5 linked regions of the Oryctolagus cuniculus genome follow. Each later gene encodes a partner of the first gene's protein in a complex. Links are inferred from orthologs where the notes say so. Each region holds a gene or a part of one and is shown on either strand. Other genes may lie near its edges. The genes, in order: METTL3, RBM15B, ZC3H13, CBLL1 and VIRMA.

What was found.
Region 2: METTL3 (region 1) and RBM15B share a complex: the UniProt entries of both Homo sapiens proteins name them as parts of the WMM complex. The link is inferred for Oryctolagus cuniculus from reciprocal best matches to the Homo sapiens genes METTL3 and RBM15B.
Region 3: METTL3 (region 1) and ZC3H13 share a complex: the UniProt entries of both Homo sapiens proteins name them as parts of the WMM complex. The link is inferred for Oryctolagus cuniculus from reciprocal best matches to the Homo sapiens genes METTL3 and ZC3H13.
Region 4: METTL3 (region 1) and CBLL1 share a complex: the UniProt entries of both Homo sapiens proteins name them as parts of the WMM complex. The link is inferred for Oryctolagus cuniculus from reciprocal best matches to the Homo sapiens genes METTL3 and CBLL1.
Region 5: METTL3 (region 1) and VIRMA share a complex: the UniProt entries of both Homo sapiens proteins name them as parts of the WMM complex. The link is inferred for Oryctolagus cuniculus from reciprocal best matches to the Homo sapiens genes METTL3 and VIRMA.

Annotation. Positions count from the first base shown.
Region 1 is NC_091443.1:53,434,886-53,440,971, forward strand, and holds part of METTL3 (N6-adenosine-methyltransferase catalytic subunit), read left to right. Parts: intron 1-2,073; coding exon 2,074-2,291; intron 2,292-2,378; coding exon 2,379-2,783; intron 2,784-4,000; coding exon 4,001-4,176; intron 4,177-4,759; coding exon 4,760-4,976; intron 4,977-5,199; coding exon 5,200-5,387; intron 5,388-5,895; coding exon 5,896-5,934; intron 5,935-6,071; coding exon 6,072-6,086. UniProt on the Homo sapiens protein: The METTL3-METTL14 heterodimer forms a N6-methyltransferase complex that methylates adenosine residues at the N(6) position of some RNAs and regulates various processes such as the circadian clock, differentiation of embryonic and hematopoietic stem cells, cortical neurogenesis, response to DNA damage, differentiation of T-cells and primary miRNA processing.
Region 2 is NC_091441.1:98,158,345-98,165,038, forward strand, and holds the start of RBM15B (putative RNA-binding protein 15B), read right to left. Parts: upstream 3,722-6,694; 5' UTR 3,587-3,721; coding exon 893-3,586; 3' UTR 376-892; intron 1-375. UniProt on the Homo sapiens protein: RNA-binding protein that acts as a key regulator of N6-methyladenosine (m6A) methylation of RNAs, thereby regulating different processes, such as alternative splicing of mRNAs and X chromosome inactivation mediated by Xist RNA.
Region 3 is NC_091440.1:65,047,710-65,053,864, reverse strand, and holds part of ZC3H13 (zinc finger CCCH domain-containing protein 13), read left to right. Parts: intron 1-2,752; coding exon 2,753-2,944; intron 2,945-6,155. UniProt on the Homo sapiens protein: Associated component of the WMM complex, a complex that mediates N6-methyladenosine (m6A) methylation of RNAs, a modification that plays a role in the efficiency of mRNA splicing and RNA processing.
Region 4 is NC_091434.1:136,457,247-136,463,401, forward strand, and holds part of CBLL1 (E3 ubiquitin-protein ligase Hakai), read right to left. Parts: intron 3,891-6,155; coding exon 3,790-3,890; intron 3,361-3,789; coding exon 3,277-3,360; intron 1,686-3,276; coding exon 1,612-1,685; intron 1-1,611. UniProt on the Homo sapiens protein: E3 ubiquitin-protein ligase that mediates ubiquitination of several tyrosine-phosphorylated Src substrates, including CDH1, CTTN and DOK1. Targets CDH1 for endocytosis and degradation.
Region 5 is NC_091437.1:119,890,078-119,896,232, forward strand, and holds the end of VIRMA (protein virilizer homolog), read right to left. Parts: intron 5,625-6,155; coding exon 5,458-5,624; intron 5,029-5,457; coding exon 4,697-5,028; intron 3,887-4,696; coding exon 3,743-3,886; intron 1,900-3,742; coding exon 1,745-1,899; 3' UTR 1,559-1,744; downstream 1-1,558. UniProt on the Homo sapiens protein: Associated component of the WMM complex, a complex that mediates N6-methyladenosine (m6A) methylation of RNAs, a modification that plays a role in the efficiency of mRNA splicing and RNA processing.

The sequences.
Region 1 (6,086 bases):
TTCCTACTTATATACACCTTGGGAAGCAGCAGGTGCTAGCTCAGGTGGATGTGTCCCTGTCATCCATGTGGGAGACCCAGATTGAGTTTCTGGCTCCTGGCTTCTGCCTGGTCCAGCCTGGGCTGCTGTAAATATTTTACTCTAGTTATACCACAGGAGTATTCTGGTTCAAATTTATTACACTTGTGGGATTTCTGAATCGTAAGAGATTGTAATAGTCACAGTCTAGCTTGATGTGGGAATTTTGTTTATGGTCTTCCAAGTACGATAAATAGTAATTGTCCCTTATATTTCTTACATATTTTTAGCTGAGGGAGTTACTCTAAAACTCCTCATCCAGACCCCCTTAGTGATTCCATGACCTGTGCATACATCATCTTTTATTTTTTTAAATAAAAAAATTTTTTGAGAAGTAGAGACAGACAGCAAACAGCCACCTGCTGGGGTAATGGCTAGTGCAGGCCAGGCCTAAGACAGGAGCCCAGTCTAAGTCTCCCATATTTGTAGTAGGGAGTAGTATCTGAGCCATCATCTGCTGCCTCCCCGGGCACAGATTAGCAGGTAGCTTGAATTGGGAGCAGAGCCAGGACTTGAACTCAGGCACTCGGACATGGGTTGTGGATGTGCCAACTAGTGTCTTACTTCTCCAAATGCTTGCCCTACCACACCTCTTTGACTAAGCGAAACACACGACTGTTATCAGTTGAGCTGGTGAAAGAGTATCTCCTTAAGATTTAGCAGATCGGGGCTGGCACTGTGGTGGAGTGGGTAAAGCCGCCACCTGCAGTGCCGACATCCTGTATGGGCACTGGGAGTCCCAGCTGCTCCACTTCTGATCCAGCTCTCTGCTATGGCCTGGGAAAGCAGTAGAAGATGGCACCCGCATGGGAGATTCTGAAGCAGCTCCTGGCTCCTGACTTTGGCTCGGCGCAGCTCCGGCTGTTGTGGCCATTTAGGGAGTCAACCTCTCTCTCTCTTTCTCTCTCTCTCTATCTCTCTCTCTCTGTAACTCTACCTTTCAAATTAAAAATTAGTTTAAAGAAGAAAGATTTAGCAGATCATAAAGGAATCATAAGTAAATGAAGTAAAGAAAGCTTTGTCAATTACTTAACATTTCCAGCTAGTCTGGAATTGTGGAGTTTGTTTTCTCAATAGGGTACAGTGAGTATTTTTTGTATAAGTATTAAAATTTTATAGTAAAATGTTTGGTGTAGTTCAGCTCCATTTTCTTGGAAAACTGAGTCAGATTTTACAAATTCAGCCAGTAAACTGGAAATTACTAAGGAACCACAATATTTGTAAATGTAAAACAAATGGCCAACTTGTATGTTATATTTTTATTTAACAATTCCTGGCCAGGTACTAGGAGTTTAATTTATTATCTGTATAATAGCTAAATAAACACAGATACTAGGCTTGCTCAAAGGTAACCTTTTATTCTGAGTTTCTTAAATCTTATTAAAGTTGTGAAGGCTCCCAGCTTGTAAAGTGATAGAATAGATGAGAGACCTGTAGAAGGAAACATCCTCTGGTGACCAAAGCTTCAACAAGCTGTTACAAGATGTTTTGTGCTTAGGAGTATCAAAGGGCACGTATTTCTACCCCTGACACTGTCATTTTGTGTGCTGTCTGTTGGCCAGTGGCCTTGTGGCCTTGATAATTCAAACTCCATGCCTGAAAAAGATACTTATTACAGCTTAGGTTGTTGAAAAATACTTCTGGCTTTTATTAAAATGTAGGTTGGTAATGTCACTTCTAAGAGTGAGTGAAAGGAGGTGGTAGGGACATTGACATCTGCTATGTGGATTTATTTCCTCTGAAACACAGCAAAGACTAGGAATTGGGAAACAGCAGAGAGGGTATGTTGTTCCCAGAAAACCATGTTCCCTCCTGGTAAAGCAGTGAACACTGAGTACAACTAAAGAAAGACAGTCCAGTGTTCAAGTTGGTCATGGACTTTCCTTCATGACAAGAAAGGGGTGTGTGCTGGGAACGCCAGAGAATTTGGCTTCTGAGGAATATGTAGACCAACAGTGATTGCTCTTTTTCACTTTCGTTTCTCTTTACTCTTAGATCTAAGGAATCCAGAGGCAGCACTGTCCCCAACCTTCCGTAGTGACAGCCCTGTGCCTGCTGCACCCACCTCTGGTGGCTCCAAGTCTAGCACAACTTCAGCAATTCCTGAATTAGCTACAGATCCTGAATTAGAGAAGAAGCTGCTGCATCATCTCTCTGATCTGACCTTAACACTGCCCACTGATGCTGTATCCATCCGTCTTGCCATCTCCACGGTAATGACTGGGTAGACTAGGGGTCTACCACTAATTTTCAGTTCATGGTCAGTTTCTTACTGAGTTACCCTCCCCTCTTATCTCTAGCCAGATGCCCCTGCCACTCAAGATGGAGTGGAAAGCCTCCTGCAGAAGTTTGCAGCCCAGGAGTTGATTGAGGTAAAGCGAGGTCTCCTACAAGATGATGCACATCCCACTCTTGTGACCTATGCTGACCATTCCAAGCTGTCTGCCATGATGGGAGCCGTGGCAGAAAAGAAAGGCCCTGGGGAGGGAGCAGGGACTATTGCAGGGCAGAAGCGGCGTGCAGAACAGGACTCAACAACAGCAGCTGCCTTTGCTAGCTCTTTAGCCTCTGGACTGGCCTCTTCGGCATCGGAAGCAGCCAAGGAGCCAGCCAAGAAATCAAGGAAACATGCTGCCTCAGATGTTGATCTGGAGATAGAGAGCCTTCTGAACCAGCAGTCCACTAAGGAACAACAGAGCAAGAAGGTAGGGCTCACATGGAAATACCCTCACAGTATGCTTTGAATTATACCTGTGATTGAGAAGGATTTACTGTTAATGCAAGATTTTTAAAATTCAGGGTTTAGAGCAGGAGTTCCTAAGTGGAAATATTTTTGCACTACTACTGTACCCCACCAAGGACTCTGGCAATGTTTAGCGGCTTTTTTTGTTTGTTTGTTTTGTTGTTAAGATTGATTTATTTATGTGAAAGGCAGAGTCACAGATCTTCCATCTGCTGGCTCACTCCCCAAATGGCTGCAACAGCTGGAGCAGGAGTGGTCTGATGCTAGGAGCCTGGAGCTTCCTCCAGGTCTCCCACACAGGTACAGGGGCCCAAACACTTGGGCCATCCTTCACTGCCTTCCCAGGCACAGTAGCAGAGAACTGGATTGGAAGTGGAGCAGCTGAGATTTGAACCTCCCGGTTCCCATATGGGATGCTGGTATCTTAGGTGGTAGCTTAACCCGCTACACCACAATGCCATCTCTCAAGACTTTTTTTGTCCGAACATGAGGGAGTGCTACTTGTATTTAGTGGTTAGAATACAGGGATGCTGTTGATGTCCTAGTATATTGTATAATACAGCAACGCTCCCTGTCCTTGAGCTGTCTGGCCCAAAACTTAAGAGAATCTTTCCTTGAATTTGTTTGGAATAATCCTCAGATCAAGAGGATACAAATGCAGAAATACAGAAAGATCAATTGAGAGGAATACTGAAGACAAGTCATATGGATTGGTAGTCCTGGAAGTTGATGACTGAACAATGTGAATTAGCCTTGTAATGGTTCTGAGTGTAACTGTTGGACCACATGAATTCTCAGCCTTTTGCCACTTTTAATTCTGAGTTCAAACAGGTTAATAATGGGAGGATAACCAGAGTGCCCTCCTTACAGAATTAAGCTGAATAGTAGTGTTAGTAGTGTGCCTTTGTTCATTACACAGTAAGCATAAGTGGTTTTTGTGGGAAGGAATGCTTTCCTGGGGAGGGAAGATTAACTTACTGCTTAACAGTAAGTTAAATCATTTAGTATTTTAATTCCATCCCGAAAGGAGATTTTGATCTGGAAATAGAGAAATCTTTTATCTTAGGGCTGCAGTTTTCCCATATTGTTAGTTCATATGTCAAACAGAATTTATAGAGGTGGATTAAGAGATAACTTGATCTACAAACCCTTTTAAGCCCAAGGCTGCTTCTGTCACAGGTCAGTCAGGAGATCCTAGAGCTGTTAAATACTACAACAGCCAAGGAACAGTCCATTGTTGAAAAGTTTCGCTCACGAGGTCGGGCCCAAGTGCAAGAATTCTGTGACTATGGAACCAAGGAAGAGTGCATGAAAGCCAGTGATGCCGATCGACCCTGTCGCAAGCTGCACTTCAGGTCTCTTGGGAAGGAATGAAGTGGGATGGGTTTTCAAGAAGCAGTCGTTCCTTTGTCAGTGGGGCTCTTGTCTTTAACCCCATCATTCAACTCATGCTTTATCCAAGTCCTCCAGACTTTGAATGTGTACTTTTAGAGGTGGCTTTGTGTGTGAAGGCATACAGGCTGTACTCCCAAACAGGTGTGAGATTTTTCCAAGTGCCCCTTTGTAGCAACAAGGCATGTGTCTTTGAACCACAATGAAAGTTTAAGGTTCCCTGGAAGGAGGAGGATCTTAGGACACAGAGGCTGATTAGGTCAGTGTTTTATTCTACTCTAACCAATCAAGTCCTTCCTGCCCAGAATTCCTTTCTGTGGTGAGAAAAGATAGCCAAGTCTTTGCTTAGGGAGGAATTAGGATAATTTAGTGTTAATTATGGACACCATGCTTCCTGTCTCATAAAACTGCTGGAGGAAGTTCTAATGAGAGAAAAAATTAAGGAAGGGTAACAAAAGGGCTTTTTGAAACCATTTGGAACTTGAACTGTGGGACTTTCCTCCATGGCACCATCTTGATTCTGATTCTCCTTTTTTATTTCCCCAGACGAATTATCAATAAACACACTGATGAGTCTTTAGGTGACTGTTCTTTCCTGAACACGTGTTTCCACATGGATACCTGCAAATATGTTCACTATGAAATTGATGCTTGCATGGATTCTGAGGCTCCTGGCAGCAAAGACCATACACCAAGCCAGGAACTTGCTCTTACACAGAGTGTTGGAGGTGACTCTAGTGCAGATCGACTCTTCCCACCTCAGGTACCTGACTGTTCAGAAAACTCTTCTTACAGACTTATATAAGTCTGAGTAAGGCAGCCGTGCATGTAGGAAAACAGGCATAATTCAGCATTCTTTCTTGCTGATTGGGAATGGAGTGGGATAGGCTTAATAAGGGAATAGGAAAATGAAATGGAAAAGAGGGACTGGGGCCATGAATCTGAGAGTGAAGCAAGGGAAGATGACCAAATACCACCTCATGCAGTGGATCTGTTGTGATATCCGCTACCTGGACGTCAGTATCTTGGGCAAGTTTGCAGTTGTGATGGCTGACCCACCCTGGGATATTCACATGGAGCTGCCCTATGGGACCCTGACAGATGATGAGATGCGCAGGCTCAACATACCAGTACTGCAGGATGATGGCTTTCTCTTCCTCTGGGTCACAGGCAGGTAATGCGGTTCAAAGATACATAGGTATGGGCAGATATGCAAGAGCCTTCCAAAAGTTCATGGAAAAATGGAATTAAAAGATGCTTACTTTGGTGCAGAAAAAATGTGAAGGCCATGCATGCATGGTTCTTTCATAGTATACATTTCCATGAACTCTCTGAAGACCCTTTGTAATAAAGTAAGCACTGGGTGGGAGATAAAAGCCTGGGTTTTCCTAGCTCCTATTAAAGTATGACAGCTCAGCCTTTTTCCTCCCCTACTGAGCCCAGATACTTGTTTATAGCATGAACGATACTTTGAATTATATCTAACTCTTCATTTGCTCATTATGAAACAGTAAGGTCATTGAAGATACTATGTTTATCTTTTTATTCTTAGATATACTCTGTTGCCCTGATAGTGTTTTGCATGTCAGTGTTCACTGAAAAGATGTTTCTAACACAACAGATCTCTTGAAGGGAGAAAAAATTAGCATACAGGTAATTGTTCACCCTTTACTTCTTTCTAGGGCCATGGAATTGGGCAGAGAATGTTTGAATCTCTGGGGGTGAGTAGCAGTTGGTGTTGATTTGAGTGAAATGCTTCATGTTTATATACCTAATCTTATACCAGGATGCTTCAGTGGTATTGCCCCAAAACTGAAGACCTGGGTAAAGCTCTAGTTCTCTTTTTCATGCTTCACAGTTATGAACGGGTAGA
Region 2 (6,694 bases), on another chromosome or scaffold:
ACAACCAAAGGAAGAGCCAAAACTAAGAACCGTCCGTGAAGTCCAGGAATTAACCAAGGAAGTCCACCTCCTCCCCCCTCCCCCAATGGCTGGCTATCCCTGGGCTGAATCAGAGGGTGGCTGGACAGGTCAGTGGCACCAGGACCACTTGGCATGGTTACACTGCCCCTCCCCCAGCTACGAGACCCCCCCACATCTGAAGACTCCCACTGGCAAACTGGCATTAGCATTGGGCACGCTGTCCAGCAGCCCCAGTTGAAACTGATGGACACGCACAGCATTTAGGACAGGCAGGAAAACAAAAAGCCCAAAACTGCCAGTGGCTGTTGGCCAGGACTTAAGCTTGCCGCCTGCATGTGCATGGGCTCTACTCACGCCAGTGCAGCTGGGTCCAGAGCCCAGTCCTGACTCAGCCCCGCGCGCTGAGCTGAGGGCGGGGAGCCACTGCTGCAGCAGGACTTCTGGGTGCGGTGGTGCTCGCAAGATGGCACAGGGCATTTGTGTGCATGCACTGGGCAAGTCTTCCACTCTTTAAGAGAAAACTTGATTAAACCAGGACTCTCAACAGGGTTAAAAATGCATCCTCTGACAAAGGCTTTACTGACAACTTTCCACAGTCAAAAAAATAAAAAAAATACAGAACACAGCAGACAGCATCTCATACATCAGAAATGAACATAACCGTCCCTTCTCATCACTGTAAAAAAAACAAAAACCAAAAAATCCTCAGAAACCTAAGAACTTCGTTTTAGTGGTGGACAGGACTTGGATCCCGGCCAAATAAAATAACCCAGCAGGGAATTCAAACCCAGAGGGCAGGGCAGGGAGGGGATTTTAAAATAACCGCTTTTGTGACACAAACAGGGAGCTTCCTGGAAAAGCCAGGTTTGGGCTAAGCAGTGTCTCTGACTATAACTATCACCATGTGTTCTTCTTCGAGCTTGCCCAGTGTCCTTAGTGCTGACTGGAGGTACTGCTGGGAGAAGGCGCAGGGCGGGAAGGCGTAGAGCATGCCCGTGCTGTCTCTGCCTTTGGACCCGCCCACCGGCAGGCTGATGACCCCCGCAGCCTGCTTCTGTTTCAAGTAGGAGACCAGGTTCCTGAGAAGCCGCCTCTGCAGGCCTGGCTCCACGGTGGGCACCCCCTCGGTGCCAGGCCCAGTGGGGGCGGCCTGGGTGGCTAGGAGCACCGCATAGCCGTTGGGGCTCCCCTGTTTGATGCGCCGTGTGACCTCGTCGAGCTTGGGCTGGTCCAGTCGAAGGCGCTGGGCGATCTTCAGCTGGGTCAGCTTGCTCCCCGAAGTGTGGTCTTTGAGGAGGCCGCTGATGACGCCCTGGTCCCCCTCGAGCACGTGCATGGACGTCGGGAAGCAGCTGTTCTTCAGCACCAGCAGCCCATTCCAACCCAGCTGCAGCGTCTGCGCATACTCCGACAGACTCTTCAGCTTTTTGGGCTCCTGTTTCGGCTCTTCCGGGGGCTTGGGCTCCGCCTCCGAGGTCCGATGATTGCGCTCGCCGTCTCTCGTCTTCTTGCCGTGGGAGGGGTCCGGCGCCTCGTGGTGGTGGTGGTGGTGGTGGCCCCGCTCCTCCGCCCCGTGCCTGCTGTTGCTCAGGGAGTTGCCGCTCGCCTCCCTGCTCCCGTCGCTCGAGTGATTCTCCTTGCGGCTGCGCTCAGGGGTCCGGTCGGAGCCCCGCTCAGAGGGCTGCCCGCCACCCTTGGTCCTGCTCCGCTCCTCGTAAGGGGAGTGGGCTGTCCGGCCACGGTCACTGGAAAGGCTCCTCCGCTTCCGCCTTTCTTCCCAGGGCTTGGCCAGGCCGCGGTCCCCATCGGCCCCCCAGCGCTCACCACTCCGGCTGCGCACAGAGCGGCTGTAGCCCTCCAAGCTGTTCCTGCGGTCAGGGCCTTTCCCGGGGCTGGTCCAGTCCCCTTCCAGAAAGGCCCGGTCTCGGTCGGAGTAGAGGAGGTGCGGAGGGGTCCTATCCCGCACGCGCAGGTCGGCGTCCAGGTTTCGGTGCCGGGTGTACCCGTCCGTGAGCAGCTCGTAGTGCACAGGCAGCGGCGAGGGCTGGTACTGCTGGGGGTACCGAGTCTCCTCTGCTTTGGCGAAGTCCACGCGGAGCCTGCGGTCCGGCCCGCCCAGGGGAAAGCCCCTCATCTTAGCGCAGGCGGCCTGCGCCGCGTCCAGGCTCTCGTACTGGATGTACGCAAAGCTGTCTCCTTTGACGTGATCGATGGTCCGAATGCTCCCGAAGCGGTCAAACTCCCGGGCCAGAGCCGCCAGCGACGTGTTGGGTCCCAGGCCGCCCACCCAGAGGCGAGTGGTGGGGTTGGCCTTGCCATAGCCTATCTTGATGGGGTTGCGGCCGATCACCCGCCCGGACATGGCCACCTTGGCCCTGTGGGCCATGTCCAGGTTCTGGAACTTGAGGAAGGCGTAGGCGCCGCCTTGGCCGCGGGCGGGCCGCTTGATGACCACCTCCTCGATGATGCCGTACTTCTCGAAGGCGCGGCGCAGCTCCACCTCGGACACGCTGTGGTCCAGGTTCCCGATGAAGAGGTTGCGAGTGGCCCGCTGGTCGTCCTCCGGCATCAGGTCCTCCTCGCACACGGCCGGGTAGCCGTAGGGGCGCCCGCGGTCGTCGTACAGCCCGTAGTAGTCCAGCGCCCGCTCCCGGGACAGCCCCACGGCGGCGGCGGCGGCCGCAGCATCCAGCGCGAAGGCGGCGGCGGCGTGGCGCGCGCGGGGCTCCCGCAGGGGCGGGGCGGCCACCGGGGACAGCGAGCGCTGCTTGTACTGGTAGCCTCCGTGCAGCGGCAGGTAGCCGAGCGGGTCGGCGGGCGCGGGGGGCCCTGGCGGCGGCGTGGAGGCGGCGGCGCTGCTGCTGCTGCTCCGCCGGCTGCTCCCGCCGCCGCGAAGGTACACGGGCTCTACCTTGAGCGGGCGGTCGTAGAGCAGCAGCTGCCGGGCCAGGGCGTGCTGGCGGGCCTCGCGCGCGTCCTGCGGGTGCCGGAAGTTCACGTAGGCCACGCGCCCGAGCTCCGGCGTGTGCGACAGGCGCAGGCTGATCTCCCCGAAGCGCTTGAACTGGTGGAAGAGGCGGTCCTCGAGGTGCTCGGCGGGCAGCGCGGGGCTCAGGCTGCTGATGAGCAGCGTCTTGTACTCCGGCGCGCTCGCCAACGAGCCGGGGCCTGCGGGCTCAGCCCCGGGCGGCGGCGGCGGCGGCGGGGGCGGAGGCGGCGGCGGCAGCGGAGACGCGCGGGGCGACGCGCCGGAGGCGCCCGGGTCCCCCGAGGCCTTGCCGCCGCGTCCCCCGCCGCCGGCGCCGGAGACCGAGGAGCGGCCGCCGCTCGCGCGGTGGTTCGCGTCCCCCGCGCCGCGGCCGTCGCGATGCCCGCCCCCGCTGCCACTCCCGCGGGGCTTGTCGCGGGTCCGCGCCGGCACCGGGTGCTTGGCGCCGCCGGAGGCCTTGTGCGCCGCCCGCCGCCCGCCCGCCTCCGCTTCCCGTTCGCGCTCCCGCGGCCGCTTTGCCGACGACGAGGAGCCGCGTCCGCTAGGGCTGGAGTCTCGGTCGCTCTGCCGCTTCATGGCGCCGGCGCGGCGGGCGGGCGGGCGGGCGGGCCGCAGGCTCCTCACAGTGACGGCGGCGGCGGCGGCGGCCCAGGAGGCAGCGCCCCCGGCGCCGCCATCTTGGACAAAAGGAATCGGCGCGGCTGTGGCGGCGGGGCGGGGCGGCAGCGGCGCCGAGGGCCCGGGCGCCGCGTTATCAAGTGGCGCCGGCCGGCCCACGTGACTGAGGCGGGCGGGGCGAGCGCTGCGCCGGGGTGCGTCATCCGGATGCGCCGCCCCGTGCCACGTGACTCCGGGGCCGGCGGAGGTGCGCCCGGGCGCCACCACGCGGCCACGCCGGCTGAGGCTTTCGGGGCGTCGCGGGGAGCGATGGGAGCGCTCTCCAGAGCCGGGTCGGCTCGCGCCGCCTCAGACTGCAGCGCGCGGGGCTGGTCCTCGACCCCGTGAGCCCAGAGGAGCTTCGTGGCCAGGGCCCGGCAGTCTTCTGCCGGCGCCAGGGTCCGCGCTGCTTGGCACAGGAATGGTAGCTTTCGTCTACGCAGCATCAGTGCCGGCGTCTGGGGCCTTGGCCCCAGTGTTGTTTTCACCCGGTCCTCGGCTGCAGCGATCCCCATCCCCCTCTGCAGTCCCCTGGCTGGGGTCCAGCGTTGACAGCCATGCCAATCCTTGGGCCCTGTACACGTCCCACGCCCAGCTCCCGAGTGTCCTCCGTGTTCAGGTTCACCTGTAGCAGTCCCTGGGAAGACCACGAGGATCACGCACCAGGCACACGCACGCAGGTGAGACCTGGCGGGGTGCAGGCTCAGGAGCAGTTAGACCCGCAACGCAGAACTGCCACACTGGTGCGGGCATCCCGGCACACAGCAGGCTGGGAAGGCCGGGACGGTGCCAGCAGTTGCCACAGCTTGCCGTGCTCCCCTGTGCACCCCCAAGGATAGGACCTTTTCTCCCCAGGCGTTGCGAGGGCAAGGGCGCCCGTGTGCCAGGGCCCATCGGCCGCTTTCGTCCTCCAAGGTCGGCTGCCGGAGCCACTGCCGGACCTGACCCCACTTCGGGCACAGGGAGCACGGGATGGGCAGCGCATCCAGCCCGCTTCTCCTGCTGCAGCCTGGCAGGTCCAAAAGCAAAGATCTTGCTAAGAGGGAGCAGCGGGCTCCCCGGCAGGCTGGAAGATCCCTTACGGGCACACCAACGAGGAGCTGAGCTCAGCTACTCGGGCAGCACCGTGACTGCTTCCTTTCAGCTGGTCTCTGCAGGACAGCGGAGCAGCCAGAGCTCACGGACAACTGGCTTTCCCAAGCGACACCAGAGGGCTGTCAGACAAGCCCGCGGGCCCTCAACTGGATTCCTCTAAACAGGAGAGGCAGCCCTCTGACCGCCTCCTGGGGAAGCTGGCAGGAATCTCGATCAGAGGCGTGGGACTGACACCAGGCCGCACACCACGGCCAAGAACATCTTTTAGAGCTTTCAGTACTGAACGCAGTGAGGGCACCACTGTGGAAAACCACATTCCACAGAGCTTCCTTCTGCCGTGGCCAGTCCCATGGAAGACCCTCCCACGCACCCTCAACTCAGCGCTCCATGCCCAGCAGCCGGGAAGCCTCCTGTTTGGGGACAGTGCATCAGGGCGCAGGGTACCAAGCCCAACCTTCTCCCCAGACTCTGGTTTGAAGCCTTATACCACAGCTGGTTCTAACCCATGTCCTGCCCTGCTACTTCTGGCATAGGTGAGTTGAGGGACAAATGGCAAAATACAAAGCATAATGCATTAAGATCCTTCTCATGCGGCAAAACCCTGTTTCAGTATTCATGTTAATTGTCCAAAGACAGCTGGAACTGTTTTCTCCTTTAATAAAAAAATCCCAGACACATGTTGAAGTCCTAGAGTAAACCAGCAACAGAAGGGAGTAAATCCCCCCAGGGGCACTAGCAGAGCTGGCGTCACGGAAAGCTCCAGGCTTCGCACCTGATGTTGTCAGGAGCCCACTTAAAAAATAAATTACAAAAAGGCGATTTTGGGGAGACAGCTGAGCTGCTTCTCCCCTCTCCGCTGCGGAGGGGTCAGGCCGACTACAAGTCCGTCCGTGCGCTGGCCGCCTTGGGGGCGTATTTAGGCATGAGTTCATTGATCTTGCGGATGTAGTCGGACTTTTCTGCGCAGCCTTTGCACGTCTCCCCCCAGTCGTCCAGGATCTTCTTCAGCTCTTTCACTCGGAGCTTCTTGAGGTCCACTGTGCTCAGGTCGATCTGCTTGTCTGGAGAGAGGAGTGAGAGTGATGGCTGGGTGGGAGCAGCCACAGCCCCCAGTGGTCCCAAGATGCGTCAACCCCTGCATGGCTGAACCACCTCAGAACAATCAGCTCTGCCGGCTGCAGCGAGAAGAGACGCTTCCAGACAAGGCAGTGTTGAAGGGACATGGCTCCCAGCCCTGAGGTGTCACCCTAAAACAGCAACTGCAGGCCGCTGACCGAACGACAGGACTCATTCTCCATAACCACCTGGGGCCAGAGTGACCTGCAGCCAGCTCACCCCATGCTAGGCTCTCTCTGAGACCAGGCATCTGATGCCAATGGGTAAACACAGGCCCCTGGAGAGTCAAGTTCTTAAACAACAAACAAAAAAGTCACAGCCACTGCTGCTGCCTCATCGTGCAGAGGGGGCCTGACGCTGGGAGCACAGGGGCTCTGTGCAGTAAAGAGTGAGTCAGCAGACAGATGCTGTGGGGCTCCTGCGCCTCCTCGAATCGCCCGCTCTTTTCAGAGCCTGCAGCCAGGACAAGCCTGGGAGAGCCAGGTCAGGTCAGAGCCCTCCTGTGACATTCCCGCCATCACTCACAGTGAAAGCTGACGTCCTCGCCGACCTGCAAGGGGCTCTGTGCCCGGCCACCTGGCTGCCTTCACACCACCTAGCCCTTCTGCCTGGGATGTGCTCTGGGAGCCGCCTCTTGGCAAGTCACCCCCTTCTTCAGTTTGCCGAAATGTCCCCTCCTCAGTGTGGCTTATTCTGACCACCACCCACCTCGATGCTGGGTCCTCCCGTGTTTTGCACCGTCTGCCACGCTGCAGGACCCACTCTCAGTGGACTGAGTTCTTCGCCTTCCTCCCCGAGCCCGCCAGCAAGCTGGGA
Region 3 (6,155 bases), on another chromosome or scaffold:
CAGGAGCTTCTTGCATGTCTCCCAGGCAGGTGCAGGGGCCCAAGGACTCAGGCCATCTTCTACTGCTCTCCAATAACAGAGAGCAGAATCTGAAGAGAAGCAGCCAGGACTCAAACTGGCACCTATACGGGCTGCTGGCACTGCAGGCAGTGGCTTTACCTACTACGCCACAGCGCCAGCCTCGCATTTTCTTCTGAGAATGTTGTGATGGCAATATGAACTCCAGTCTGTCTGTGGTCCACAGGAGGATGGCTATTTGTTTGATCAGGGCCTGGGGTTCCTGTGAAGTATCTCAAAAGGGAGCTTAGCAATAGTATGTCAACTATACAGGTGACCATTGAATTCTGAATCCTGTGGTCTGGGGTCTGTGGGATCAACCTAAGCCATGCATCACTCCTTTAATCTAAGTGAATGAATCTTAGCTGCTATGCCACAGCACTGGCTCCTGACCTTTTCGTTCTTACATGTTAACTGTATATACCTTGATGAAACAAAGACATAAGCCTCAGCTATTCTTGCTCATTGCCCAAAAGATAAACATTGAAATGTATTCCTTGCCCTTGAGTCTCAGGCGGGTCTCACACCCCATGTTCTTTCCCAGGTTCCCAAGCTCTGCATGGCCACCTGAAAGGCCAAGTTGCTCTGCCACCTGAAAGACCAGTTCCAGGAGTTCTCCTGCTGCTGCCTGCTACCTTCACCCCCATTCCTAACCCCCTAAAATATAAGAAGGCCCAGCCCCTGGGTCGGGCCTTCTGACACGTGTTCCGTCAGTGTGTACACTGGCAGTTGGTCACCCACCTCTATGAATTTATTTTCTCTGAATAAATTTGGTTTGGCTGTAGATTCGTATACTGCCTCCTCTCTATTCTGCACCTCTTATCCTAACCTTTGCAGTGCCCTTGGTGTGAAGAAGCATCAATTGCGCCTCTTTTCCTAACATATCTCTTGTCATCTTTTGAAATCTTAAATTTCTTCTTCTTGATCTTTATTACAATATTCTTTAGAGATATTTACATTATTAAAGTGTCCCGTTACAGTACTTAGAATTATGCTATAATTATTTTAGGGCTCAAAGCCCATTACACATAAGTTCTTGGTGGGGTGTTTTTTGGTTTTATTTTTACCCTTGGAGATGTACCTTCCTATTCTTACTGTAGGTGGGTAGGTTTCTCATGTATTCTTTTTGAGTTTGGAGTGAATTCATCTTCATAAGGATTTATCTATAGTAACTTTAAGGGGTTGAGGACAGAGTTCACCAGAGTTCTTGCCTTTATTTTTGCTGGCTTTCCTAGGTTATGACAGCCCCTGTTTTGCTTCTTTCCCCTTACCCTTACCTCCCATACTCCAGAAATTTAAGAGAACAGTTTTTTTTCCAAGTAATTAAGGATTCATAGGAGATTGGAATGAAATGTACAAGGAAGCTCAGTGTACTGTTCTCTGCTTTCCCAGTGATAACATCTTACACATCTAGAGTATGCCATCAAAACCAAGAAATTAACACTGCTGTACTCTATAGATCTCATTCAGGTTTTACAGTTATATATATTTTTTGTGTGTGCATGTGTATTTAGCTCTAGGCAGTTTTATCACATATGTAGCCTGGTATTAGCCCTACAATCAGATATTTAATTGTAACATCATAAGATTTGCTGGTGTTACTACATCCATCCCCTCTTCTATCACAGACCCCTGGCAATCTCTAATATGTCCTGCATCTTAAGATTATGTTATTTCAGGACTGTTTCCTAAGTGGAATCATACAGCAAGTATACTGCTGAGATGGGCTTTTTCATTCAGCATAATTTTCTTGAAGTTCATCCAAGTTGTTGCATGTATCAGTAGAGTCTTCCTTGTTACTGCTGCATAGGACTCCGTTATATAAATGTATCATGATTTGTTTATTCATTCACCCATTGAAAGATAATTGAATACTTTGCAGTTTTTGGCTAGCAGAAATAAAGCTACCATGAACATTCATTTCTCACATCTTTTTTTTTCTTTCTTTAAGATTTATTTATTTATTTGAAAGAGTTACAGAGATACCTTCCAACTGCTCATTCACTCCCCACATGGCCAGAGTGGACAGGGCTGGACCAGGTCATTGCCAGGAACTTCATCCAGGTCTCCCACATGAGTGACAGGCCCAAACACCTGTGCCATCCTCCTCTGCCCCACAAGCCATCAACAGAGAACTGGATTGCAAGTGAAGCGGCCAGGACACAAACTGGCACCCACATGGGACGCTGGCGTTGCAGGCAGTGACTTTACCCACTATGCCACCACACTGGCCCCAATTTCCCACATCTTTTAATAAAAATGTTTAGATACATTTAATGTTGCCAAATTACTTTCGTCATTCTATATTCGAGTGCTTTCAGTATAAACTGTGATTGAGTCAATACTACATATCCATATTTCTCATTATTTTCATGTGGTTTCTGTGGATGAGATATGAAGAAGCATTTTTAAATTTTTGTTTTGTTGTTCTGGGGGTATTTTAAATGAGTCTTCTTGCTTTCCGATTCCATTATTACTTTTTTTATAGATGGAGAAAACTGGAACTTAGCTTCCTCAAGTCAGTCATAGCAGAGCTGTGTGTTCTCAGCGGTGCTTAATATTCTTTTCAACAGTGATTACCGCACTTGGAATACCAAAGCAAATTAGTGTTTTCTAGGAGGAAAGATTGTGACTGATGAAACTTGTTGAATAAAGTGTTCTGTGTTAAACAACTGTATGAATATCCTTTGTTTAGGAAGCCGAGGCACAAGAGGTTCTCAAATTGATAGTCACAGTAGTAATAGCAACTATCATGACAACTGGGAAACTCGAAGTAGCTATCCTGAAAGAGACAGATACCCTGAAAGAGACAACAGAGATCAAGCAAGGGATTCTTCTTTTGAGAGAAGACATGGAGAGAGAGACCGGCGTGACAACCGAGAAAGAGGTTTGTCAAACAAAATTTTATTAAATAGTACCAACATTAAATTGAGGATTGCTTTTTAAAAGTTACCAATTTGCTTTTTAATATAAAGTATATTTTAAGACTAAGCTTGATGACAATGTTTGATTGAAACTCTTATACTCTTTGTTCATTAGTTTAGGAAGGTTTATGTAAGTAGCTAGCTACCTGTAACTACCAGCAGCAGAGTACAAGAACTGTGCTGTCCTGCTGTGTGTCTGCCATCCTAACTGGGTAGCTCACAACCCTTTCAAGATGCCATCCCAGGCAATTCAGGAAATAATGGAAGCCTTCTCATGAGTATTATCCTGGCTACTCTCTTTTTAGCCATGAACAATAGAGTATTTTATGGGCTACCAGAGAAGAGCAAGGCTAGGGATTGTTCGAGAAACATTTTACTCATATTCTGGCCTGAGAATATATAATTTTGTATTCTTGTATGTGTTAAGCTAAAAGTTTTCTGTTTATCTATTAGATAATCTTATAAAAGTAACTTTTGAAGTAAGATTGCTAGGAAACACTTTATTCTAAGAATTTTCTTTGAAAAGTTTGTATTGTCTGTATTTAAACATTTAAAATCAGTCTTATCAAAGTCTTTCTAACCTTGGCTGATTTCTGAAGTAAGATTCACTATAATACTGAACTTTGAATAGTATGAAACTTGATGGAGCAGGAAATTGAATGTTGATGCTTTTAGTGTGGGCTGAATCAAAAAGATAAAACTATATCTTGATGTGGGTAGTAATAGGAGTAAAACCAAGTTTCTAAGACACCATATATACTTGAGAGAATAGAGAAGATCAGAGATAGGACAGTCGGTTGGGTTAAGTTCATTAAGGTAAGCCAACTGCATTTGGGTTTAAAAAGGTGAGGACTTCCCCAGTTATAAGTAGGGGTAAAGTTTATTCAGTGTTAATATCTGAAATTATTTCTTCCAGCATTTGATTTATCTCTCTTTAATACTGCATCCTGGTAATGCTTTATTTATGTGTATATATATGTGTGTGTGTGTGTTTGTGTGTGTGTGTGTTGTATGTATATTACTTTTCTTCCTTTTTTTCTATTTTCTTATCCTAGAACAGGTTTCTCTGAATTCATGCCTCAATTCGGTAGTAACATTTGGTTTTATTCCTCTATTTAATTCAACCTAGGTGCCGAGAAGTTCAGTAGTTGTTTTACATATATTCTGTGACTTAACTTTTACAATATCCCAATAAGTATAGGTATTATAAAGTAATCCATGTTTCACAGCTTAGACAATTAGATTTAATTGAAGTTAGTTCCAGAACTGGATTCAAACTCAGGTCTTCTGACAACGGATCTAGTTCTCTTTAACTACTTCAGTAAATATCAGTTGAATGATCAAAATATAGCAATATATTTTTGAGGCTAGTGATATATTCTACCCATGCTAGGCACTTTGCTAGGTACTTGGAGTACAACAGTTCTTGTCCATGGGTTTCTATAAAGAAACTGATGGAAAAGGAAACACCTCCTACTTCCCCCCATAAAAAGAGAAATGATTATTGTTATCAAGAAAACAAAGGACCTAGATAGAATAAAGAATAAGAGAGGCATCTACTTGAGCGTTTGAATGGAAAATTTGAAGAGATATTTACACAGAGGTGTAAATGCAAGAGAAGAAGGTAGCTTTACAGAGATTGAGAGTAAAAGCATTCTGTGCAGAGGAAAGGTTATGTACAAATTATTTGAGATAGAAAGAAGCCTAGTAAGTCTAGGATTTGAGAGAAGATTGATGTGGCTAGGGGATGGTAAACAGTAGGGAGAATGATAGAGGTTGAGAGTAGAGATGTGTCTGGGCACCTTATTCTATGCTTGAGGGTTTAAATCTTTCTTTTAGTTTTCCATAGTCTAATAGTGGTGCAGATAGAGCTGAAGTATGATAAATGCTGCTATAAAAGTACTGTGAGGAGACAAAGGAGCAAACACAATTCTGAGGAACTCCCAGAGAGCTGCCTAAAGAGGTGACATCTGAATGAGGGCCTGGAAATACATAAGTTTGTGAATAGGAACAATGAAGAAGCACTTTTCAAGGAGAGTGTGCGCATGTGCAAACACACAGGGCTGAAAGAAAGCCAAACAGTGAAGGAGTGATGAATTATGTTATGACATTGGAATAGTATGATGTAATTAGCAAGGAAGGAAAGAAGAGGGGCAGGACTGATGAGAGACCAAAGGCCAGATTGTAAATGACCTAGGAAATCAGACTGGAAATTTTGATTTTAATATCCCTTCAGAGCCTACAGGATAACTGCCTTTAAGCAGCTGGAAGAAATGGAGTTTTTATCAAAAACACTAAAAATCAAGTGGAAGACTGAAAACAAACATACCCAGCAATTTAACCGTTGATGACATAGGCATCTAAAAGCTGATCAAGATCTAAGTTAATATTTTAACTGAAGAGATGAGGACAAGAAAATAAATAAATAAATATTTTGGGAGTGAAATTGATGATACTTAGTAGATAACTCAGAGATTGCCAGCTTTCATGAATAGATATGTCATTCAATAAGATAAAGAAATAACTGAAGAAAGCACATCTTTGAAGAATATATTTTGAGGCAAGGAAAGGGGAGATAGTTTAGATATTAAAGTGGTGTTGTTATTTCCTTTTTCCTTTGAAGTAAGGAGCATTGTCTTTTTAGGAAAATAGAGCTAAAAGAGTCAGGAGAGTAGACTATTCCCTGATATTATTATAATAATCAGAAATTTGAAGAATGTATTCCTGTTAGTTGCAGTGTTGAATGTGTTTCACGTTATTTTGTAACCATTGAGATTCTAGTATGACTCCCAAACTGGAAGTGCAGTTAATCTAAAACATGGGTAAATAGCATTCTGGAAATCCACTATGGTGCCATAGAACCATTTTAAATTTAAGGTAGTTTCAGCTAAAATAAAAAGATTTGAGAAAATTGATCTCTAATCTTGTTGCACTAATGGGTCTACCATCTCTGACTTTAGTAAGTCAACCTCTAGACCAGAATTTCTATGTCTTCAAGAAGGAAGAGTAGGAGAAAGGACTGGAAACGGTTCTGTCTTACTTTAGCTTTAAAATTCGATGAACTTTTCTATCTGTATCTTTTGAATAAATGCTTAAAATTTTCAACAGTGGTAAGGAAGGGAACTTCAAGTTACTATATTGATCCCTTCCCTAGAAACATCCTAAAAGTATTCT
Region 4 (6,155 bases), on another chromosome or scaffold:
TTTCGACCCAGCTCATAATGATTATATTACAAACTAAACTGTTTTTAAAAAGATGGGGGCAGCCACTAAGTTGGCAGGTACTAATGCCATCTTACATATTAAAATGATATTCTGTAACTAATCATATAGATAGGATTGTCAAAGGGGTCACATAAATAAGACCAAATGTCTGCTAATAATAATAGATAGAATTAAAAAGAAGAGAATGATCCAATATTGGAATCAGGTCACACAGTGGACTCATAGAATGACAAATGCCCTAAATAACTCTCTCCTCAGAATCAGCCCTTAAGGCATTCAGATCTGGCTGAAAAGCTCCATGAGAACATTTCAGGCATAGAAAGCCAAGACACCGTGGCAAAAAATGATCTACACGAAGGATCTCTGTGAGATCCCAGTGGAAAGAAGGGGCCATCAAAGAAGGAGTACTTTTCTCTGAAAGGAGGAGAGAACTTCCATTTTGCTTATGGCCCTGTCTAAATACTGACAGAGTTTGTGGACTCAAAAGGCTTCCATAGCCTTGGCAGTTCATGACAAGAGCCTCAGGTGATTGCTGACATCATAAATAAGAGTGTCAATTGTTAAATCAACAACAGGAGTCACTGTGCACTTGCTCCCCATGTAGGAACTCTGTCCTTAATGAGCTGTACTATGAGAATGAATGGTAAAACTTGTCTTCAAACAGTACTTTATACTTTTGTGTGTCTGTGTGGGTGCAAACTGTTGAAATTTTTACTTAGAGTTGGTCTTCTGGATATAAAGATAATTAAAAATAAATCTTAATGGGGGCCAGCATTGTGGCACAGTACGTTAGTCCTCCACCTGCGGCGCCAGCATCCCTTATGGGCACCAGTTCTAGTCCTGGCTGCTCCTCTTCCAATCGAGCTCTCTGCTATAGCCTGGGAAAGCAGTGGAAGATGACCCAAATGCTTGGGACCCTGCACCCGCGTAGGAGACCCGAAAGAAGCTCCTGGCTTCGGATCGGCACAGCTCCGGCCGTTGTGGCCATTTGGGGAGTGAACCAACGGAAGGAAGACCTTTCTCTGTCTCTCCCTCTCACTGTCTGTAACTCTACCTCTCAAATGAATAAATAAAATCTTTAAAGTAAATAAATAAATCTTAATGAAGAATGGGATGGGAGAGGGAGTAGGAGGTGGAACGGTTTAGGGGTGGGAAGGCAGCTACAGGGGGAGGAACCACTATATTCCAAAATCTATACCTATTTAATTTATATTTATTAAATAAAAGCTCTCTTTAAAAAAAAAAAAAAAAAAAGATGGGAGTAGGTGTTTGGTCTAGCAAGTAAGATGCCAGTTAAGACAACTGCTTGCAATGCCTACATTCTGTACTGGAGTGCCTGGGTTTGAGTCCTGACTCTGCCCCCAGATACAGCTTCCTGCTAGTGTACACCCTGGAAGGCAGCAGGTGAAGTAGCTGCCCCTGTCATCTACACAGGAGACCTGGACTGAATTCCAAGCTATCAGCTTTGGCCTCAGCCTCAGTCACTGGAGGCATTCTGAAAGGGAACTAGTAGATGGGAGCTCTGTCTCAGAAAGACAGAAAGGAGAAAGAAACGTTTTTATAAAGAAATAATAAAAATTATCTTCTTACCCTGGACACATCTTATCTCCCTTTTTTTCATGTAAAATAGCACAGTCATAACAAAAAACATGCTTGCATGGAATCTGCAAACAAAGACATTATAATTAAGCATACTAGAACAACTTAGATTTTATTTCCACACAAAAGATCAATAAGCATAATCACCTACAGCTAGAAGGCACTGAGCTTTTAAAAAGAACATTTATTAAGTGCTACTTATTCAAAAGTAAAAATTAATCTTTGGCCTCCTTCCTAATAAATGAATACAATGTACACTTGTCTTTGGGAGCAACTTACCCTGTAAGTTTCACCATTGATCCCTATCCTATACGTTAAAAGCTCCTGACAACAACATTATAATCATGTTTAACCTTACCCTATTTCTCCTGAAACTATTCTAAAGAGGTAAAAATAACTAGTATCTCCTATATTTAACTAGCATTTCTTCCTGGCTTAGATTAGTGAACTCAAAAAAATCTAACAATCAGATCACAGTAAAATGATGCAAGAACCACACTGTAAAGCCAACAGCCCATTATTGTTACTTTGCTATGATACAGAGCAAAGCAATAGTGCATAATCCGTGCCCTCTATCATCACAGATATGAGTACAACAGAATCCAATCTTTTTTTCAAACACAAATGCAAAGCTATCTTTTTAGAGCGAGGACATGATAAAGTTACTATAAAATTACAGTTAGGGGTGTAAAAATATTTTTTAATAATCAGAATTCAATTTTTAGAAATTAAAAATATTATTTATGTATTTTATATAAAAAATAGTGAACTTCAGAAATGAATAACTAATGTTATTCTAGTCTGTTAAAAAAAATCAGAGGCCAGGGGCCAGTGCCGTAGCACGGTAGGTTAATCCTCCACGTGCAGCGCCAACATCCCACACGGGCGCCAGTTGGAGTTCTGGCTGCTCCTCTTCCAGTCCAGCTCTCTGCTGTGGCCTGGAAAGGCAGTGGAGGATGGCCCAAGTGCTTGGACCCCTGCACCCGCATGGGGAACCCAGAAGAAGCACCTGGCTCCTGGCTTCAGATTGGCACAGCTCCAGCCATTGCGGGAACCAACGGAAGGAAGACCTTTCTGTCTCCCTCTCACTGTCTGTAACCCTACCTCTCAAATAAATAAATAAAATTAAAAAAAAAAAATTGGAGGCCAGAGCTGTGACACAACAGGCTAAGCCTCCACCTGCAGTGCCAGCATCCCATACGGGCACCAGTTTGTGTCCTGGCTGCTCCTCTTCCAATCCAGCTCTCTGCTATGGCCTGGGAAAGCAGCAGCAGAAGGCCGAAGTGCTTGGGCCCCTGCACCCACGTGGGAGAACCAGAAGATGCTCCTGGCTCCTGGCTTCAGATTGTTCCAGCTCCAGCTGTTTTGGTCACTGGGGGAGTGAACCAGCAGATGAGGATTTTTCTGTCTCTCCCTCTCTTTCAAATTAATAAATAAAATCTTAAAAAAAATCTTTCCTTAAAAAAGTATAATAAATATAAACTGGTGTCACGCATACCAAGTACTTCTCTTAGCTAGTTCATATTTATTTAAATTAAAATGTCACAAACTCAGTCATTAGATAATGATTAACTGTATCTACTTAATACATTTCAGAATTCTACCTGGACACAAATGCACGCATTTACAAACAGTATTTAATTTAATTATGCTTACCATTCGTCCATAGATTTTAATAGGTAATCCACACTTGTCACAGAAGTGAACTGGTGTATCATCCTTTTCACCTAAGATGTTTATCTGTTGAAATGACATAATTAAATTCCCTTAATCCTAAAAACTGCATCTATAACACAATGCTAAACACTCTATCAATAGTAAATGGTTGGTACTTTATAAAAGTTGTTAAAAACAACTAGAAATAAAGGTTTCTTGGTATAATCCCCACATATTCACCAGCATTAGCTGTGCCACCGTTAGTTTACATTTTTAAATAGTTAAGAGTTATCAATCACATTTGACCTCACTGAAAATGATTTCAAATTATTTTTGGGAATAGTCAAAGTAGGGCACTCATTATAAACAAATGATGTTTGTGTTAAAAGTCATAACATTAACAAAAGCTTGTAAAAGATACCCCTTATATATTCTACACTGTTCTAATACCACATTTTAAGTACTTAATACCAATTTTATTGGTCTAATGAAAGTTTTCGTTTTTAATCGTACCTGAAAGTCCCAAAAAAGGTGTCCAGGAAACCTTCGCTGATTTCCAAACAGTTCACCCCCTTTACAGTCATACCGTTCCTCTTCATTATAATCAAATCCTTCTGAGAAAACAAAATGTTACTCATTAACTTCAAACCTCAAATTTCATTTGAGAAGTATACACACAGGACAAAGTAGGCCTATTCACTGGAAAGCCCACCTGATGACTTTCAAAGCTCCTCTAAGAACAAAATAATGAAGACTAGTTTAAAATATCAACTAGAAGTAAAACTGGTGATTACCTGACCAACTCTAATACTTCATAATTGAGACTATTACAGTATGGAGATCCACAATAATGTAACATATTAAGGTCAGCAGCAGGACCAGGAACAGATCTCAGATCTCTTGACACCTATTCAAGTGCTTCTATCAATTCAACAGACTATCTTTAGTCTAAAACCTCAAGATTACCATTATCATCATTTGTTGCACAAAATTTTAATGACATTGACCATCACTTATTCTAATCTATCTACAAATATGGTATGCTGCAAGAGACTGATTTTATTGTAAAAATAATGAAAACAAAGAATTCTGCGGATTTTCTTATTACTTAGTAAATTATACTTTCCCTTCACCTCTAATCTGAGCATGATTTTGGAACATCAACAAATTCATTCTTCACCCTTTCATTTTAAAACTTCTTCCTGGTTAATCCCCAATCAGCAGGAGCCATATGATATTTACAAGTATCCTGTCCTACACTGCATATATCAACATTAATAAACTTAAGACCAGTTGAAGATCAAGTTGGCTCAATTTCTCTGGTCTCATTAAAAAGTTGGTGGCAATTTTCTCATTTTACACAAAAGAACAGAAAACCGGTGAACAGTCTGATGAGAATTCTAGGTAGAATCCAATTACCTAAAGTAAAGCTGAGAAGACAAATATATCTCTCCAAGGTGCCAGGCTTGTCACGACTCTTTTGGCCCTAGAACTGGTAAACAGAGTAGCCAAAGCACACAGCTTCAACTTTACCCACATGGCTAACTTACAGTACCTGTGCAGGTAGATAGACACACACACACAGACAATAGTGATGCAAGAATTTTTTGAAGTTGATAAGAGATATTCCAATATACTGCTATTTAACTACTTCCAATATAGATGTACAGTTCAAAGTAAAGTTGATCTTATAAATTACACCTGAGTGTACCTACAGTCTTATATGGCCCATTCCTTATCAAAGGTGGTGTCATCCACAATTCAAAGTAAGAAAAATTGTCAATTCTTCAAATGCAGAAAATTATGGAGATCAACAGCCAAATAAATGAAGAGCACATTATAATTTTTCAGAGTAGTTCAACCTGTATTCTTCTCATTAAACTAAATATCCATAGAGATGTACTAACACCCAAAACTCCATATTTTGATCAATCCCTAGGGAAAAAAATAATTTTCTTTTACTCCAAACAGGTTAAGTCTAAAGTATTCAATGATTGTCTTCAGCCTCAAGTTGCTCTATTAAGAGAGAAAGGAGTAAGAGTAGTTCCCTCTAAAAAAAAGCCATGACCCTGAGAAGAGGAGGAAAACAACTTAGAGAAAAGAGGTAGCAGGGAGAATTTTTAGCTTTTCCTGCATTACAAGAATGTACTTGTACATCACTATAAGTTCATGAAAATACTTTGAAAGACCAGAAAACAGACTTTAATACTTTTAGAACTTTAATATACAATAATGGTGGGTTTTCTATGCAGCAAGGAAAAGATTATTCAATGATTGGGACAATGACAAGCTGTTTTGGAGGAAAAAACAGAAAGCCAGATCCCACTTTTGGCTTTTTTAAATAACCACATACGTATTCTTAAAAGATCCAAAGCAGAGGTCAGCAAATTCTTCTGTAAAAAGCCAGGCAATAAATCCTCTCAGCTCTGTGAGCCACATGGTCCATAACCACAAACACTCAGCTCTACCACTACTGTATGAGAGCAGCCACAGACAATACTGAAATGAATGGGCATGGCTGTTTTGCAATAAAACTTTATAAAAACAGGACCAGATTTGCCCCACAGGTCATAGTTTGTACTGACAGATGAGAGGAAAACCAGTTTATATGCACAGAATAGGGGAAGGCCTTTCTAAAACTGTCATAAATCCAGGAAGTCATAACAACAAACACTGGATATCTGACTGCATAGAATGTTTAACCTCTCTACAATAAAAAATTTATAGACAAAATTCAAAAGGCAAATGGGGAATATACACAATATATTAAAAAGGGTCAATTTCATTAATTTAAAAAGAACTCAAAAATCAAGAGAAACAGCCAAACAGAAAAATGGGGAAAGGATATGAACAGAAAGATCCTAAGCAAAAGACCAATA
Region 5 (6,155 bases), on another chromosome or scaffold:
AGAGGTTTCCATCTGCTGGTTCACTCCCCAAATGGCTGCAACGGTAGGAGCTGGGCCAATCCGAAGCCAGGAGCCAGGGGCTTCTTCCAGGGCTCCCACATGGGTGCAGGGGTTCAAGGACTTGGGCCATCTTCTACTGCTTTCCCAGGCCATAGCAGAGAGCTGACCAGAAGTTAAGCAGTCGGGACTCGAAGAGGTACCCATATGGGATGTGGCATTGCAGGCTGGGGCTTTAACCCACTGTGTTACAGCACCGGCCCAGGATTCTTGGATTTTTGAGGTCATTAGTTTTGAAAAAGTTTTCATTACCTTGGGGCTGGTGCTGTAGCAGTGAGTTAAGCCACAACCTGCAACACCAGCATCCCTAACAGCACTGTTTCAAGTGCTGGCTGCTTTACTTTCAGTCACTCCCTGCTAATGCACCCATAAAGGCAGCTAGGATGGCCCAAGTACTTCAGTCCCTGCCACCCACATGAGACACAGATGGTCCTGACCATTGTGGCCATTTAAGGAGGGAACCAGCAGACAGATGCACTCTCTGTCACTCTTCCTTTCAAATAAATAAAAAAATTTTTTTTAATTTCCATTACCTTTAACTTAAATCAGAATACTTGGAGCTAACCTTTTTAAAGATATTTTCCAAATAAACAGAAACTTCTTACATACTCACAAATAGTTCCCCAAAACAGAAAGTGATAAAGGAGAGAATGAGACTCATACACTTCTTTTTTAAGAGAAGTCTGTATTTATGCCAATTATATAAGCTCGATGTATTAGACAGACCCTTGGGAAAATATGGCTACTTTCTCAAATTATAAGTTTCATTTCTATATAAAGTCCAGCTTCATTAGATGTTTCTGGTTCCCAAAATAACAGGATATGCCTTATTGTGGGCTTGAAATAACTGTATAATAAAAAATAGCATCAGCAGGTCCAAAGCTAAAAAAACGAAGTCTGTACTTCCTTCTAATATAAAGGGGAAGAGGGTTTTATCTCCTTTCATACAGCCACGGTTCCCAAACTGTGTACCAGGGTACCATAGTAAATTAACATGGTTGCCAGACAGTAGTTGACATTTTTGAGGGAAACAGCCACACCCACTGGACACCACACAAACTACTAGTTTGAGGTAGTTTACATTTTCAACATCAGATAGCACTATATTGCTTTACATCAAAGTTTATCTTTGTAAAACTGAGTTTTTCACAGTTTGATAAAAAGTACTTTGCAAGAAGCATAGTGCAGTAGGAAATTAATGATATTGATTCCAAGATCTGAGACATTATGCAGTGTCCACATTTACTATGATGATGATGTAAATTCTTAAGTTGCTTGGACCTAGCTACTTGACAAACAGAAGTATTAGGTATTTCTTTTGGCCTAGATGTGCTGTGAAAAAAATTACTGAGTCACTAAAGCGTGCCAGAGCAGAGTAAATTTGGGAACATCTGTTGTATAGGCAAGAAAAATACAAAACAAGTCATTTAGTTATTCTCTTTCTACCTAGAAATTTTCTAAATAAATAGTTGTATAAAAAGGGGAAAAATATATACAAACATACATACAAAGTTTGGATTTTTATTGAAATCATGTTAGGTATCAAACAAAACCTGCTTTCTTCAGATAAAAATATTCTCTCAGATGTTTCCAGATAACTGTTAAGTCTAAGTTGGTCCTTCAATGTCTTATTTTTAGCGTCCTCGTGAAATGTTCATATGTATTTCGGAAACTCCCAAAAGTACTTTTATCGTGTAAAGGACCGTACGTGACGACCTCTACCACTGCCTCCACTAACAAACTTTCCTCTGGAGCCTCCACTGCCGCTATTTGCACTAGCCCAGGAAGGTCCGAGTCCCCCACGACCTCTGGAAGCACGGTCCCGAGGACTTGGGCGGTAACCTATAAAAGAAACAATACAGATTTTAGTTCCATGTCCTTTGCATTCTCACTTTATAAATACCTACTAATGTATGGCACTGAGTTCAAACCAAGAATGACTGTTTGTTCTTTTATTTATTTATTTTTAAAGAGTTTAATTATTTGAGTGGCAGAGTCACAAAGTAAAATAGAAAGAGAGAGAAGGAGACACAGAGAGAAAGGTCCTCCATCCGCTGGTTCACTCCTCAAATGGCCACAATGGCCAGAACTGGGGTGATCTAAAGCCAGGAGCCAGGAGCCTCTTCCAGGTCTATCATGTAGATGGAGGAGTCCAAGCACTTGGTCATCCTCCATTGCTTTCCCAGGCCATAAGCAGAGAGCTGGATCAGAAGAGGAGCAGCCGGGACATGAATCGGCACCCATATGGGATGCCAGCACCACAGGTGAAAGCTTAGCCTATTATGCCACAGTGCTGGCCCATGTTTGTTCTTTTAATACTCATGTGCAGGAGCTGGTGCTGTGGTACAGCAGGTAACACCGCTGCCCTCAACACCATCCTTCCATGTGGACACTGGTTTGTGTCTCGGCTGCTCCACTTCCAATCCAGCTCCCTGCTAATAACCTAGGAAAATAGTGTAAGATGGCTTAGGAGCCTGGGCCCTTACTGCTCATGGAGACCCAGAAAAAGCTCCTGGCTCCAGGTTTTGCATGGTTCAACCCTAGCTATTGTGGCCATTTAGGGAGTAACCAGCGGGTAGAAGATATCCATCTCTCCCTCTCTCTCTGTAACTCTTTCAAATAAACAATCCTTAAATATGTACATGGGACATTCATTCAAAGATATAAAATTAACCTTAGAATTTTAAGTCTAGGGGGCTGGCGCCGTGGCTCACTTGGTTAATTCTCTGCCTGCCCATATGGGCACTGGGTTCTAGTCCCAGTTGCTCCTCTTCCAGTCCAGCTCTCTGCTGTGGCCTGGGAAGGCAGTGGAGGATGGCCCAAGTGCTTGGGCCCCTGCATCCACATGGGAGACCAGGAGGAAGCACCAGGCTCCTGGCTTCGGATCAGCCTAGCTCTGGCCATAGCAACCATTTGGGGGGTGAACCAAAGGAAGGAAGACCTTTCTCTCTGTCTCTCTTTCACTAACTCTGTCAAATAAATTAAAAATAATAATAATAATAACTTTAAGTCTATATTCTAAAGAAGGCGAGCAGAATGTCTGGATAAGGCCTGTGAAATCATGAGGTCTGGCCCTGCTAAGGCCGTCACAGGTGGGCTCAAAATTCAATAAATCTACAGCAGGCTAATTTCTAAGTTGGTAATTCTGCATGGCCTACAAATGATATTATAAATATCCAAATGGCCCTTGGCAGAAAACAGGTTCCCCAACCCTGTTCCAAAGTATTCTCTCCTGGAAGAGCCTATAGCACTCAACATTTTGAAAAGGAGGAGGGGCCAGCGCTGTGGGGCAGTGGGTTAACGGCCTGGCCTGAAGCGCCGGCATCCCATATAGGCGCCGGTTTGAGACTTGGCTGCTCCACTTCTGATCTAGCTTTCTGTTATGGCCTGGGAAAGCAGTAGAAGATGGCCCGAGTCTTTGGGCTCCTGCACCCGCGTGGGACACCCGGAGGAAGCTCCTGGCTCCTGGCTTTGGATCGGCGCAACTCTGGCCGTTGCAGCCATCTGGGAAGTGAACCAGCGGATGGAAGACCTCTCTCTCTCTCTCCCTGCCTCTCCTCTCTCTGTGTAACTCTGACTTTCAAATGAATAAATAACTCTTAAAAAAAAAAAAAAAAAAAAAAGAAAAGAAAAGGAGGAACTCCCTTCGCTTCTCTGAGCAGTGTCAAGTAGAGAGGACACATACCTGTAGAACTAAGTGGTCGCAATGGCGGAAGCGGGCCCCTGTTAAAATTACTCTGGCCTCCTCGACTTTCATTGTAATTCCCTCGAGGAGTATTCTGAGCACTCCAACTGGAGCCTCTGGTGCCCTCCCGACGACTGTAGTTTCCTAAACACAAACAACAAGATCAAAATCTAATATTGCCAGAATTTTGTGTTAAGGAAGATTTGGCAGGTTTTTCTTAATCTTAAAAAAGTAACGGAAGAAAAACGAAAATCTTGTAAACTGAATATACTACTAAGAAGCAAAAATCACACAGCGGTTAACAGCAGAGGCTCTAAAGCAGACTGCCAGGTTCAAATATCGGTCCTGTCACTTCCAGTTTTGTGTCCTGGTCAGCTGAATCACAGTTTATCTTCAGTAAAGAAGGAGTACTAATGCGACCTACCTTGTGGGGTTAATGTGAGCGTACCATATCTGCATTACTTGTAACACTTCCCGACACACCTATGTAAGCGTTTGTTATTAATGCCAAATTCATATTCTCTTTCACTGTCACCTTTCGAGCTCATCAATCCACTAGTAAAAGCATAGTTTCTTTAACTATATCAAATAGTCTCAAAATCTTCAAACAACTTAAAACAGACTGAATATAACAGTAAGAAGCAAGGTGATAAAGGAATCAATTATGAACTACACAAATAATCTTAAGGAAATTGTTGAGAAGTACAAATGTGAAAATGGTATTTACATAAAAAATAATAAAATTCTCAATGTTAAAAGGAAAATAATTACCTGTGACATCTTTTAAATTCCCAGTAAAAGTATACCTTATCAGAAGTTAACCCAAAAAGTATGTGTGGTTTTTTTTTTCCTACCCACCAGAGTACTCTGCAAATAGTGCAAATACTTTATCTCAATCTCCTCAGTCACTTCACTCAATATTTTAATATGCTAGCCTATTAGAAATGCAGTTACCTTTTGAAGCAGGTGGTGTGAAAAATCGATTCTGACTGTGAAAAGCACCACGTCCTCCTCGATTGCCTGAAAACCCACCACGAGAAGAAATCTTCTGGGAAACTTTAAGTGGCCGTTTGGGTGGGGGTATTCCATCTTGAGGGACCACTTCTTTACTTTCAGCTGCGACAAAGTCATCCACGTGCATAGATGGTGGTCTGCTTGTGTTCTGTTTCCTCTGACGAAAAATATCATGGGGTCGTATACCCTGTCCAAATCCTCCCCTGCCCCTTCCTCTTGGTGGTGGCACAACATGAGCTCGTTTGGCAGGTTCTATGTATTCAGATTTTCCACTATTAAAACAAAAATACTCCATTAGAAAATTTCCGTTTCTTCATATTTCCAGTGAAAATACAATAAATAGTGAATCTGGATTTCAATTTTTTCTTATTCTAATTCCATTAATTTTGCAAGTATATATATTACTTCCCAGCATACTTCCCAGCATAATACAACACACTAGCTAAGAATGGTACTCATATTTTATTGATATCACTAAAAGTTTTACAATAATCCAGTTTACTTCTTATTCATACCTTTTAAGTGCTCACAAAGAACAATATTACTAATGTACTGGCTAAGTCCTGGCCAAATTATTATCTTTAAAACTAATACAAACAATATTAATGATTCAAATGTTATGCAAATGATTCCATCTTAAATACAATGAAATAAAGCTTTATGTGATCATAATCAAGACCTTCAGTGGAATAAATTTTTACCTTGAAGTTATAAAGGTCTCATGCTTGTGCTTCCCAAGTTTGAATCCTTTAGTAGTCTTGGTTCTCCCTGGAGATGACGGTTCTGACAAAAATGAGCGCTCTAATTCTGAGTGCAAATCAAAGTCACTACAGCATTTTTCAGAGAGCTCGATTAAGTCAACCTTTACCTGTAGTCATAAAAATGAAACAAAAGACATCTTAAATTAACTACCAGTGTAACATCTGATCATGGAAATTCATATTCTTGGGGCTGGCACTGAAGCTTAGTGGGTAACGCCGCCATCTGTGATCTGTGATGCTGACATCCCACATGGGTGCCAGTTCGAGTCCTGATTGCTCCACTTCGAATCTAGTTCCCTGCTAATGCACCTGGGAAAGCAGTGGAAGATGGCCCAGCACTTGGCCCTTGCACCCATATGGGAGACCTGGATGGACCCCTGGCTCCTGGCTTTGGTTTGGACCAGCCCTGGCCATTGCAGCCATCTGCATCTGCCTTTCCTTCTCTGTAACTCTGCCTTTCCAATAAATAAATAAATCTTAAAAAAAAATTAAAATAAATGCACCTTAAATGTGAAACAAATCATTCTATCAGTTTTATTGTACATGATGAACACTAACTTTTTTTAATTTTTTTTTAAGATTTATTTATCTGAGAGGCAGAGTTACAGACATAGAGAGACAGAGAGAGGTTTTCCACT